3 separate regions of the Mus musculus genome follow, and all the other regions are reported to be linked to region 2. The links are microRNA targets in miRTarBase. Many come from high-throughput screens and were not tested one by one. Region 2 holds a microRNA gene; each other region holds the end of a gene's coding sequence.

Region 1 (4,188 bases), not on the chromosome of region 2:
CTACATTTTATTAACTCTTCAGTAATTAGGTGCCTCTTAAATCCCTCATTTATTGCTCTTCAAGTAATTAGTTGTTTAGCTTCTCTCTCTCTCTTTTTCTCCCCTCTCTCTTTGGTATTAATTGCAGGTCCAACCCAGTGGAGGGTAAACTCATCTTTTGCAATGGGGTGGTCTTGCACAGGTTGCAATGCGTGCGTGGCTTTGGGGAATGGATTGATTCCATTGTTGAATTCTCCTCCAACTTGCAGAATATGAACATCGACATTTCTGCCTTCTCCTGCATTGCTGCCCTGGCTATGGTCACAGGTCAGTACTGCTGGTGCAGGACACTTCCCCTTCCGAACTTCCTCTGGTGGGACCGGTCATGGCTTTCCCTAATCGCAGATTCTTTCTGATTCTGCCATCTGACTAACTCCCCTCTGCATTCTTTTGTTTCTGGTTGCATTTTCTGCAGAGAGACACGGGCTCAAGGAACCCAAGAGAGTGGAAGAGCTACAAAACAAAATTGTAAATTGTCTTAAAGACCATGTGACTTTCAATAATGGGGGTTTGAACCGACCCAACTACCTGTCTAAACTGTTGGGGAAGCTGCCAGAACTCCGCACCCTTTGCACACAGGGCCTCCAGCGCATTTTCTACCTGAAATTGGAAGACTTGGTACCACCACCAGCAATAATTGACAAACTTTTCCTGGACACCTTACCTTTCTAAGACCTTCTCCCAAGCACGTCAAAGAACTGGAAAGAAAAAAAAAATAACATCCAGAGGGGGCTGGTCACATGGGCAGAGAGCTGGTTGAAGTGTCCAGTTCACCTTATCTCCCTTCTGTAGACCCCTAGCCCTCACCCCTTAAGTAAACAAACAAACAAACAAACCACAAATAAAAACTGTCGCTATTTCCTAACCTGCAGGCAGAACCTGAAAGGGCATTTTGGCTCCGGGGCATCCTGGATTTAGAAAACGGACAGCACACAGTACAGTGGTATAAACTTTTTATTATCAGTTCAAAATCAGTTTGTTGTTCAGAAGAAAGATTGCTAATGTATGATGGGAAATGTTTGGCCATGCTTGCTTGTTGCAGTTAAGACAAATGTAACACACACACACACACACACACACACACACACACACACACACCTTAATGGGACCCTCCTATTTTGCCCTTTAACAAGACTTCAAAGTTTTCTGCTGTAAAGAAAGCTGTAATATATAGTAAAACTAAATGTTGCGTGGGTGGCATGAATTGAAGGCAGAGGCTTGTAAATTTATCCAATGCAGTTTGGCTTTTTAAATTATTTTGTGCCTATTTATGAATAAATATTACAAATTCTAAAAAGTAAGTGTGTTTGCAAAAAAAAAAAAAGAAAATAACTACATAAAAAGGGGACAAGCATGTGATTCTAGGTTGAAGATGTTATAGGCACTTGCTACTTCAGTAATGTCTATATTATATAAATAGTATTTCAGACACTATGTAGTCTGTTAGATTTTATAAAGATTGGTAGTTATCTGAGCTTAAACATTTTTCTCAATTGTATAATAGGTGGGCACAAGTATCAGTACATTGGAAAATCCTGACAAAAGGGACACATAGTGTTTGTAACACCGCCCAACATTCCTTGTTTGTAAGTGTTGTATGTACCGTTGATGTTGATAAAAGAAAGTTTATATCTTGATTATTTTGTTGTCTAAAGCTAAACAAAACTTGCATGCAGCAGCTTTTGACTGTTTCCAGAGTGCTTATAATATACATAACTCCCTGGAAATTACTGAGCACTTTGAATTTTTTTGTTTTTGTTTTTTATGTCTAAAATTGTCAGTCAATATATTATTTTATGTTTGAGTAAGAATTTTAATATTGCCATATTCTGTAGTATTTTCTTTGTATATTTCTAGTACGGCACATGAGATGAGTCACTGCCTTTTTTTCTATGGTGTACGACAGTTAGAGATGCTGATTTTTTTTTCCTGATAAATTCTTTCTTTAAGAAAGACAATTTTAATGTTTACAACAATAAACCACGTAAATGAACAGAACTCTGTCTTATTTCTGGGCCAGGAAAATGATTACTAAACAACAGGTACAAGAAAGAGGCGAAAGTGGAGACTGATTTGGGGAGGTCACTTACAGGACATCTGAATTTCAGACTGACAGCCTAGATCCATTGTGGCAAAGGGAAGGGTGTCACTAAACTAATTATCCAGAGAATTCATGCAGTGTTTTTTTTTTTTTTTTTTTTTTTTGTTTGTTTTTTTTTTTTACTTTGCCTGAATTTTCCAGTCTGCTGACCTACATTTATCAGAATCAACTTAGAATATCTTACTCTTGTAAGTTTTGAGTTAAGTGCAGCTTAGGAGACCAACAATCTGAACTTTTCCAAGTTGGGAATCTTGTGAAGTTGGGGGGGGGGGGAGGGGAACAGCATTCCGAAGTTTGTGCTTGGAGATTCAGAAAGGCAGATTTGAATTCTCTTTTACTTTATCTTTGCTCTTTTCAATTCCTGTGCATGCTTCTATGAGTGTGGGACCGAGCACTCCAGGCCTTCTGCTGGAGTTCTGAGTCAGCCTTCCCACTAGAGCTCTGGAGAGACATTTCTTTTTTCCCCTCCTCTGGTGGGGAGTGATGAGGTGTGCTTTGAACTTTTAGAAACTTTCCACCTTCTAATTATTTCAGATTAAAAAAAAGATCCTTGTCCAGTCTTGGATCTAGTTTAAGCAAATTTTAACATGAGGCTCTCGTATTCCATTCAGAATCAACTTTCCGTGGAGGAAGGGGCCCGAGTTCTCAGCTGATCTGGCTTTCAACCAGGTATCCTTGGGCAGATGGTAGTCCAGTTCTGCCTGGGGCTGAATTTAAGGAGAGATTTAAGATGGGTTGATCCTGCTTCATGACCCTGGCTAATTACAGATAGTTTGGGGGTCACCGAAATTTACAAACAAAGAAACAAACAAACAAAAAAGGTCTTCATTTAAAAAAATGGCTGTCAGAAGAGTATCCTGCCGCCAGTTTACCTGGTCTCACTCCTTACCCTGTCAAAACAATTGTTTTATGGTTGGCAAAAAGAGACAAGGAAAGTCCCCTGTGGTAGTTTAAAGCTATTTTTACTGAATGGGTTTCTCTCTGAGGGGTAAAGGGAATCGGTCATATAGGGTATCAAACAGGACATGTCCAATTTTCTAGTGTATGTGTGCATTTTTAAGATCAGACCAGCGACTGCATTTTATTTTCACATCTTATTTTGAGTCAAAACCACAAACTCTTAAGTAGACAGAATGAGCTCTTCTCCCAGGTGTCTGCGCCCGGAGACAATTACATTTTACTGCAGAATCCCTTAGAGTTGAGCCCAGAAATGAACCCCCAAGGCTGATTCTCCCCAAAGGACTCCGCAGGCATCATCTGAGGCCAATGACGGCGTCAGGGAAAAGTGAGTCTCTGGAGACTTTAAGAGATCCATGCTTTCCTTGTCTCCGTACTGCATCTACTGGGCTGGATTGTGATTCCTAGGTTGTCCCTGGTAAGGTTTCTACTTCAGAGTCACATTCTATCTCGGCGGCTCTTACCCACCAAACGTCTTCTCCGCCCCCCCCCCCCCCCCCCCGGTCTTCAAAGGTTCTCTCTGCTCACAACTTTCCAGTCTTAGTCTTTCTTTCTAGAAATATAGCCCAGGAAGAGACACAGACTCTTTCTATGTTGTCAAATCAAAGTGTATAGAATTTCTTCAGGAAGAGGTCTAACTTTATGATGAGGGATTCCTAGTCACCTCCGTTGCCTAATGACTCTTGCATGTCATTTTCGGAGTGTCATTTCAGCAGTAGACAATACGTGGTCATTGTTCCAATGTCATGACCATCTATACACCCACTTCTCAGATCTGAGAGATCTATTTTAAAGTCTTCGTTGTCCACTTCCACATTGAGAGGTTGCCTAGAACGGCCTGGCTTTTTGGAGAGATGGCCTTAATTTAAAGCAAGAATGGATGAGCAGTTCTATTGCCTGGTGTTCCGTGGCTTCCGCCTTTCTGCTATCTGGATTGAGGGTCATAGTCTTTCTGGGTTTCCTGCTCTCCCTCGCTTAGACTTTTGGCTTTCTGAAACTGGCCAGAGGGTGCTTAAGAGGAGTGTGTGTGTGTGTGTGTGTGTGCGCGCGCGCGCGCGCTCCCAGGGTGGGCACACACACACACACACACA
Region 2 (4,188 bases):
TGAAAGGACAAAAGGGAAAATAAGGGGGAGGGGAGGGCAGACAAAGAGGCAGGGGACGACCCAAATGGTATGTCACCAAATGACTCCCAAAGATCTCCACTCCCTCTGCTTCCCCAGAAAGCAAAAGCAATGGAGGCAAAAGGGCTTTGGGCACAGCTGACCCTGGGGAAGGCTCCTAGCAACCCAGCTAGGCTGTGTCCACCACTCCTAGCTACTTACTGAAATGTCCCTTGGTCAACTTCAGTGCCACCTCTCCCAGGGTCCATGGGAGCTGTGGGGGAATGTCCTGGAGAAGACATTCTGACTCAAGAGAGTCCTGTATTCAGATCTCCTGGTAAAAGGGCTGTGGAAAGTGTCTGAGGAGTCCAGACAGAGGGAAGATGGTAATTGGCTGGGGAGTGCCTGAAGGCAGAAGTTTCCTGGCCTTAACAACAAATCAAAGAAGCTTTTCCCACTGCCCCTGCACCTCACCCCTAACTTCAGGGAGCTAGATTCCTATTGGGAGGCCTAGGAGCAAAGGGGTTTCTAAAAATGGAGGCGCACTTTTTTTTTCTGTTCTCTCCAGCCCTGAGGAAAGGCTGCCTACCCTCTTCAGAAAACCCTGAAGGTATGTATCATCCATCACCAAGGCCACCGCAGTCACCACGAAGCAAAGGTTATCTGGGGACCCTGGGGGAGGGGGGTGTCTTAGCAAGAGCAGGGTGAGTAGGTGGTTTGGGGGTCAGGGGTGTTCTGTTCACCCCGAAGTTCCCACACAAGCCGTGGCCACAGAAGATGGTCACCACGTGTCATCTTTTGTCTGTAGTCACATGCAAAGTCATCGGCAGGTTCTAGGGACCCCAAATCATAATATATGAACCCTGGCCTCAGGGAACTGGAGAGGAAAGCTGGGGTGACCCAGAGATAAACCGCTCCAAGGCCACAGAGGATGAGGTAGGTTGCAAGCCACTCAAGCAGTGTTCAACGGCGGCCTTGATCCGGGGGTTGAGGGAAGCCAGCAGACTCCCTTTCCTTACGAAGGAAAGTGGCCATAGTTGAAAAGGATACCCCAAGAGCTAGGGAGAAACAGGAGTGCAAAGGATGGGCGAGCCCATAAAGGAGATGTCCTGAGAACTAAAGAAGAGACAGTTTCTCACTAGCAGTCATTTGTGCTGCGTGCATAAAGAGACGGATGGGGGGCGGGGCACAAACAGGGGAGCCACAGGTTGAGCAGGCAGGCCCTGGGTTCCATCTTTAGCACTGAAAAAAAAAAAATTAACTGCATGCTTGAAATGGGTGGGTCTATCACAAGAAAGCTAACTTAAAACGACAAAAGGACAAGAAAGTGGAAATTTCAGTCCCAGAGGGCTCCAGGGTAAGCCAAGACCCGGATAGGAGGCAGACCACTGCGCATGCTCACACTCCTCCTGCCCAAGAAGAAAGCCGCGCGGCCTGCGTGCGGAGCGCCTGTCTCCCAGCCTGAGGTGCAGTGCTGCATCTCTGGTCAGTTGGGAGTCTGAGATGAAGCACTGTAGCTCAGGAAGGGAGAAGATGTCCTGCAGCCGTCACCGGGACGTGGTAAGTGTTGGCATGGGATAGCGGACTAGATAGGTTGTCCCTAGATTCTGCTCCAGCAGCTTGTGGCGATGTTCCTGGGCTCAAGCTGTACCAGGGCCGATCACTCTTGTGCCCTCTACAACAGTAAGCTCTGGTCCATTCAGGGGCTGCCAGCACCAACACCCTGCCTCTACTTCCTCAGCCTAGAGAAGACACTGCTAACAAAGACGCTACATCTACCCATTCTGGGGAGGTTCCAACACACCCTCGGAACCCTTCTCAACACTGCATAGTGAATAGCCATTGTATATGGTTCTGCGTTGAAACCCCTTCGTCTCTGTAAATCAGACAGTCCTTAACAATCCTTAGCCCCAGTAGAGGCTCAGGATCCCGGCAACCCAACGATACGACACTGTCACGTTGCAACCACGAAATGCCAGACATTAGGCCTGAGGTCACAGTCTTCACTTTTTGAGCTCTACCCTGCCTCTGTGCTACTGCCTGAGCCAGGCTGGCATCTCACAAATGTCTGCCCTTGTCCCAGAGGCTTCAGAGAGGCAAGGGGCAACAGAGGAGAGTCACTGGGGTATATCCATTTGTTGCTAACCTCCCAAGCCTGGTCTGAGGAAGGCGACCCACTTCCTAGAGGAGAGTAGAAGAGAACAAACCCCACCCTGGTCTTGGTTACTCTCAGCTGTAGTAACAGCAGAGACAGAACCACACACTCCTGCATGCCAGAAGAGGGCATCAGACCCCTTTATAGATGATTCTGAGCCACCAGGTGGCTGCTGGGACTTGAACTCAGGACCTCTGGAAGAGCAGCCAGTGCCCTTAATCGCTGAGCCATCTCACCAGCCCCTGACCATTCATACATATTTCTAAGCGTCCATGGCTTCGCTGCCTTCATGCTGGCTCCTGACCCATCCAGTGGGTCCTATTTGATGCCACTTTACAATCGTACGAGGATCAGAGGCCAAGTGACCTGCTGGAGGACCGCAGCGAGAAGGTCACTAGAGCCTGGGAACGGACTTTTAATAATCACTGGCCAGAGTCCCCGTGGACCATGGCGGGGGGAGGGAGGCAGGGAGGACTGGTCCCAAATGCTTCCTGACCTTAGGGAAGGTACTTTCCAAGCCACTCAAAGCTCTAGTTGCTCTTCCCAGAGCAGGACGCTGCATCCCGGGAAGGAGGGTGTATACAGCGCCCCACGGTGGATGCCGAGAGAACTGCTGGTCCCTAGGGGCGTGGCACGTGCTGAAGGCATCTCTCTCTCTCCCACCTTGTCCTCACGGTCCAGTTTTCCCAGGAATCCCTTGGATGCTAAGATGGGGATTCCTGGAAATACTGTTCTTGAGGTCATGGCTTAGCAGCTGGATCTGTCTCCCTCCCACCCTGGCATTTCCTTCCGGGGAGTAGGGAGGAGGAGGCGGTTCGTCGGAGGTAAGCGGTCTTGGGAGCTCTCTTCTGACCTTTGTATAGCTTTTCTTTCCGCCCTGTCCATATTTCCTAACATCCCCAGGAGGGAGGCTGGATGTGGGAAGCTCAGAACTGCCTCACTCTTGAGAAACTCGTCTCAAGACACAGTGGTTGAAAACCAGACTATGAGACGGCTCCCCTCCACTCTGACCCTCCACATGCCTTCCCTGTAGACCTTGTGGTGAGGAGGGGCCACAGACCCACATCCACACTATTAAGAAAGTCATTCGTACATTTATTTTTAAAGTTTATTAAATCAGCTAGGTAAACTAAAAGCCATTCATCTCCGTTGGATTTGGAGGGCAGCCACAGGGAAACGAGTTTTCAAGGTAGAAAATACAAGACTTGGAGCGCCCCTAGTGGTGGCTCTTCCCACTGCAGGAGCACCTTGTGATCCCTGCGCACAACCACAGACGTGCTTAATCCTTCCTTGTTCTTGCCAGAGATGCTTCCCGGCTTACAGTCGGCTTTTCCTTAGGCCCAAACAAGAGCCAGGTCGCCTAGAAAGCAAAAGGCAGAGCCAGGGTTGATTTCAAGCGTGGAATTGAATGTCTGAGACAAAAGAAAAAGTAGAGGCAGGAACTACTTATAGCTCCCGGCCCCCCAACTCTTGGGAGTTCTTCCTTGTTTTTTCCTTAGTAAATCTTTGCTCACTGTGCTAAAAACAAACAAACAAATTTTAAAAATAAAAAAATAAACCACATGCCTTTAAGCTCAGCTTCGGGAGGCAGAGGCAGGGATAGAAATCCAGCAATAAAATGGAACTTGGGTTGGAAGGATGAGACGGCGCTTATCAGCAAAGATGCTGGCCACCAATCTGAGGACTTGAGTAGAATTCCCAGAACCCTCGTGGTGGGAAGAGAAAAGTGACTCCTGAAATGTGTCCTCTGACCTCCACATGCGTACGTGCACACACATACAATAAAAAGAAATAAATGTGAAAGGGAAACTAGAACTTAGGTGCTGGGGGCTCATCTGTAAAGCTCTGAGTTCGGATGTCCAGTGCCTGTGTAGAAAGCCAGCCGTGGGGGGGGTCACCTTTAGCATCCTAGTGCTGGTAGGGAGAAAGACAAGAGGACCCCTGGAGATCTGCAGCCAGCCAGGCAGCCCAGCCAGGGTTGGTGAACTCCTGGTTTACCGAGAGACAGTGTCTCAGCATCATAGGGTAGACAGTGA
Region 3 (4,180 bases), not on the chromosome of region 2:
TGCTGGTGGGAGGCCTGGGTTTGTACCCTGTGTATGTGGCAGCCAGAGGCCAACCTCAGGTGCCTTTCCTCAGGAGTTGAGCACCTTAGATTTGAGACTCACCAGCTTAGCAGGTGTGGCTGGCCAATGGGCCCCAGGGATCTGCCTGATCCTACCTCTCTAGGGCATTTATTTTAGCTAGGACCACCAGAAGGGGCTTTTTATGTGTTCTCTGGGGCTGGAAAGGGCATTATTCAAGTCTTTCCAAAATGTGCTAGATCTAAGAATGTACATCACCCCAGCCCTAGTCAGGTGTGATCTCCCCAGTGGCCCCCGGGCCCCAAGATAGCTGCTTATTCATTGTGCTTTCCCCCTCCCAACAGGTATGCTCATTTATTTTGGGTATGGCATCTGGAACAGCACCTTGGAAATCAGCGCCCGAGAGCAAGCCCTGCATCAGAGCACGTACCAGCGCTACGATGTGGATGATCCCTTTTCTGTGGAGGAGGGGTTCTCCTACGCCACCGAGGGCGAGAGCCAGGAGGACTGGGGTGGGCCCGCCGAGGACAAAGGCTTCTATTACCAACAGATGTCAGATGCGAAGGCAAACAGCCGGACGAGTAGCAAAGCGAAAAGCAAAAGCAAACACAAACAGAACTCGGAGGCCCTGATTGCAAATGACGAGTTAGATTGCTCTCCGGAGTAAGACTAACCGCGCAGGAGCCTAGAGAGGGTGGTTTCTTAGTACATCAGCCTATGTGCTAGAAGGTGGAAACTTCTTCCAACTCTCATTTCACAAACCCAGCCTTTCCCCAAGGTCCATCCCCAGGCATAACCTGTCATTTGCTACTTTTGCTCTTCAGGGGAATTCTGTTGAAGGGTTTTACCCAGGGCCCTTAACTAGCCCTCTTGTTAAACAAACAAACAAACAAAAATCAAACTCAAAAGACTACATGAAATTCTGTTAGTGAGATGCCCAGCCGATGGCAGCAAATGTTTGCTTTGCAGGATGGATCTTTGTGCTTCTTACAGAGATGGAGGAAGCTTCCTCCATCCCACCTGAGAACACAGCCCCGGGGGAAGGAGCCACAAAGGTGGCGGCAGTGCAGTGTGAGGCAGCTGTCAGCCCATCCAGAGCAGCGCTGTGAGCTCCTCCCCCAGGTCAGTAGGTCAGGCTGTTTCAGGACTTTCTCTGTCAGCAACACTGTGTCCTTACATCTCACCTCACCTTCTCACTAAACTTCCCACTAACCGTGGAGCAGACCCACGGTTCCTCACTCACCAAAGTTCTTACAGTTTCCAGACTATAATTTTAGGATCCAGAAAGGACTCGGAGAACGCATCCCCCACAAAGCACCCATGCAGACACAGTAGTATAGTTAGACCCACCATCAGAGCTTGAGGAAAAAAAAAAAGGTAAAAGCTTAGATAGCAATCTCTTACAGAGGTCAGAAAAGCATTGGCAGACATGAACTGTCTGTCATGCATTCCCTTATACCAGACCTTGAGCTCCTGCCACGATGGTGAAAGGGCAGAGGTGGGCTGTGACGCCATGCCTCTGATATGCCTGGAATAAGTAGGCTATTTGTTTTACAATCTGATAAAAAGTCTTTTCGAGGAGAAGTAACTCTGCCACTGAGATCACATTACAAATCTTACTTCATATTTCTAAAATTATAAACTCTGCAGAGGGTTTTTTTTTTTTTAATTTTTCAAGCTAGGCAACCACTTGGCTGGCTGCTGCTGTTGAAAACGGTGGTGCAGAAGGCCAGGGACTTAGGTCAATGAGCTCAGAGAGATCACACTCCCACACGGACCTCATGCTTCGGAAGAGCTCGCTTTTAGAGTATTTTTTCCTGTTCCTTCCCAAAGTACTTTCACAGAGCCCCAGAGAAATGCTACCTGGTGACATTTAAGTGTAGGCCACCGGAGGAATGCTTAAAAGAATTTTCCCAAAACAGGACAGATGAATCTGTGACAGGAAAAGCCTGTGAGTTATATCCCCCCAGCAGCCATGGATCCCATGGCTTCAACAGCGGGTGTACTTGTGTATGAAGACAATTTTCCTCACACTAAGATTTTTGTGAGAATTTTCTGGAAGTAGGGCAAAGACCAAACCCCCTCTTTATCATCTGCCAAAAATTCTCCTGAGAATCAACAAACATTCTCCTTTCTTAAAGTCTGAAGCTGATGTCTTCTTGGCATGCACTAGAGTTACAGAGAAAAGGTGCGCTTCCTGTTGCGCTAACTCGCTGAAATACACCAGTGGCTAAGTGGCAGGCATGAGGAGACCTGTAACTTCCTCCCTTGGAGCTTACAGTACAGGGAGGTGCAGTTTTGGAGCCCCATGACCAATGCAAGAGGCATACCAGAAAAATATCAGTTGAAATTATTTTTTAAGACAATGCATAATAAATTGCATACCATGCCCCTAGCTAGTCTATGCCATTGCAATCAAATAATTACAGTTTTTAGATCACTTCATATTAATTACATAGAACCCAGTATATTCATGGTATCATTTTTATGTAAAGTCTGACAAAACTGTGTATCCTCTTTCTTAAACTTAACCACCATGATCCAGTGTCTGGCCTGCGACAAATCACCCTGGAAAATTCACTGTCAAATTGATCTCATGATGTTAAAACCTAAGTTTTAAACTGGTTTAGGAGCAAGAAATCTGCCTGGTTAAATTGCATCTATTAAGCTGAAGTCGTGGGTAACCTTCTCTCCCTTAGGTGTGTTTAGAAGAAATATGGATACAAAGTGACAGATTTTCATGTGAGTAGAAAGTTTCCTTTTACTGCTGGTGTTTAGGTATAAAAGTAGCAATGGTCTGGTGGCAGCTGTGTGCATCTTCTGTAGCCTAAGAGAGTGAGCATGGGTTATATTAGTTAATGCTATTGGTGTTGATTCTGTGCAGAGCCAAGGAATTGATCTCATTTCATAAGCCATTTGTCTCCGTTGGTAGCTTTGGATGTCTTTGCTCTCTTTATTTTTCTAACATTGTTGGGGTCATCTTCTTAGCTATCTTGGTTTTTTAAACATTGTTTGGAAAGTTTTCTCAGGTACATAGCAAGGTTCATTGTGTTTCTCAGCTCTTATGGAAGAGTCCCAGGTTTCACAAGGCAACTTTCAAATACCATCAACCACAGAAATGACAATATCAGCTAACATATCTGAATACTGTATTTGTGAGGTTTCATTAAAAGAAGGGTCCCTTTATAAATATTTATCTTAGGAAATCTCTTCTGGTGGGTTTCAGTGTGTGTGAAGCCGATAATTTAATATCTTTGAATTCTATTTATTTATCAATACTCTGCATCATTTCAGAAAGATTGGAGGCAGCTATTAAAATGCATGTGCTCGGGCTGGTGAGATGGCTCAGTGGGTAAGAGCACCCGACTGCTCTTCCGAAGGTCTGGAGTTCAAATCCCAGCAACCACATGGTGGCTCACAACCACCCATAATGAGATCTGATGCCCTCTTCTGGTGTGTCTGAAGACAGCTACAGTGTACTTACGTATAATAAATAAGTAAATAAATCTTAAAAAAAAAATGCATGTGCTCCAAAACAAAAGGGGTGAGCACAACTGAAACAGAAGAGAGGGTAACACTAAGCCAGAAGTGTGTATAGTGCACAGGTGCAGAACTTTCAAGGGCTTGGCTACATTTTCCGATGAAGGGTGTCTTAGTCAGGGTTTCTATTCCTGCACAAACATCATGACCAAGAAGCAAGTTGGGGAGGAAAGGGTTTATTCAGCTTACACTTCCACATTGCTGTTCATCACCAAGGAAGTCAGGACTGGAACTCAAGCAGGTCAGGAAGCAGGAGCTGATGCAGAGGCCATGGAGGGATGTGCCTTACTGGCATCTTGGAAAATAATAGACTTGTCAGTAATGACAACCAGTACTGCTACATGATTAAAATAAGCCCTTCCCCCATAAGGGCACAGACCTCTAAAGTCCACAGAGAAGCGTCAAGCCTAAGTTGCACAGCCACATGCGCCTGCTGGGTAGTGGCTATCAAGAAATAACAGCGAGGTGGTGGTGGCACACACCTTTAACCCCAGCACTCAAAGGCAGAGGCAGGCAGATCTCTGAGTTTGAGGCTAGCCTGATCCACAGAGGGAGTTCCGAGACAGACAGGGATACACAGAGAAATTCTGTCTTGGAAGAAAAAAAGAAATAATCTTGTGAT

The links. Region 2 holds the annotated microRNA mmu-miR-145a-5p (GUCCAGUUUUCCCAGGAAUCCCU, at 2,828-2,850, shown strand). A microRNA usually pairs through its seed, bases 2 to 8, with sites in the 3' UTR of a target mRNA and lowers its output. Matches are read on the target gene's strand: a 7mer-m8 pairs with bases 2 to 8, a 7mer-A1 pairs with bases 2 to 7 and ends in A, and an 8mer does both.
Region 1: miRTarBase lists Nr4a2 as a target of mmu-miR-145a-5p. Seed matches in the 3' UTR shown: 8mer at 736-743.
Region 3: miRTarBase lists Slc7a14 as a target of mmu-miR-145a-5p. Seed matches in the 3' UTR shown: 7mer-A1 at 3,784-3,790.

The regions. Positions count from the first base shown.
Region 1 is chr2:57,104,679-57,108,866 of GRCm38, reverse strand. Nr4a2 (nuclear receptor subfamily 4, group A, member 2) reads left to right here. Exons shown (of 8, transcript NM_013613.2): 7 at 128-306; 8 at 455-1,641. The coding sequence ends at 711. Among named protein-coding and RNA genes, the nearest start is that of Nr4a2, 8.3 kb to the left of the region's middle.
Region 2 is chr18:61,646,528-61,650,715 of GRCm38, reverse strand. Mir145a (microRNA 145a) reads left to right here and starts at 2,822; the gene lies at 2,822-2,891. It overlaps Bvht (braveheart long non-coding RNA), which reads right to left. Exons shown (of 3, transcript NR_045420.2): 3 at 3,231-3,512. Carmn (cardiac mesoderm enhancer-associated non-coding RNA) reads left to right here. Exons shown (of 5, transcript NR_045402.1): 4 at 566-809. Mir143 (microRNA 143) reads left to right here and starts at 1,458; the gene lies at 1,458-1,520.
Region 3 is chr3:31,205,581-31,209,760 of GRCm38, reverse strand. It overlaps Slc7a14 (solute carrier family 7 (cationic amino acid transporter, y+ system), member 14), which reads left to right. Exons shown (of 8, transcript NM_172861.3): 8 at 363-4,180. The coding sequence ends at 685. Among named protein-coding and RNA genes, the nearest start is that of Gm33834, 25 kb to the left of the region's middle.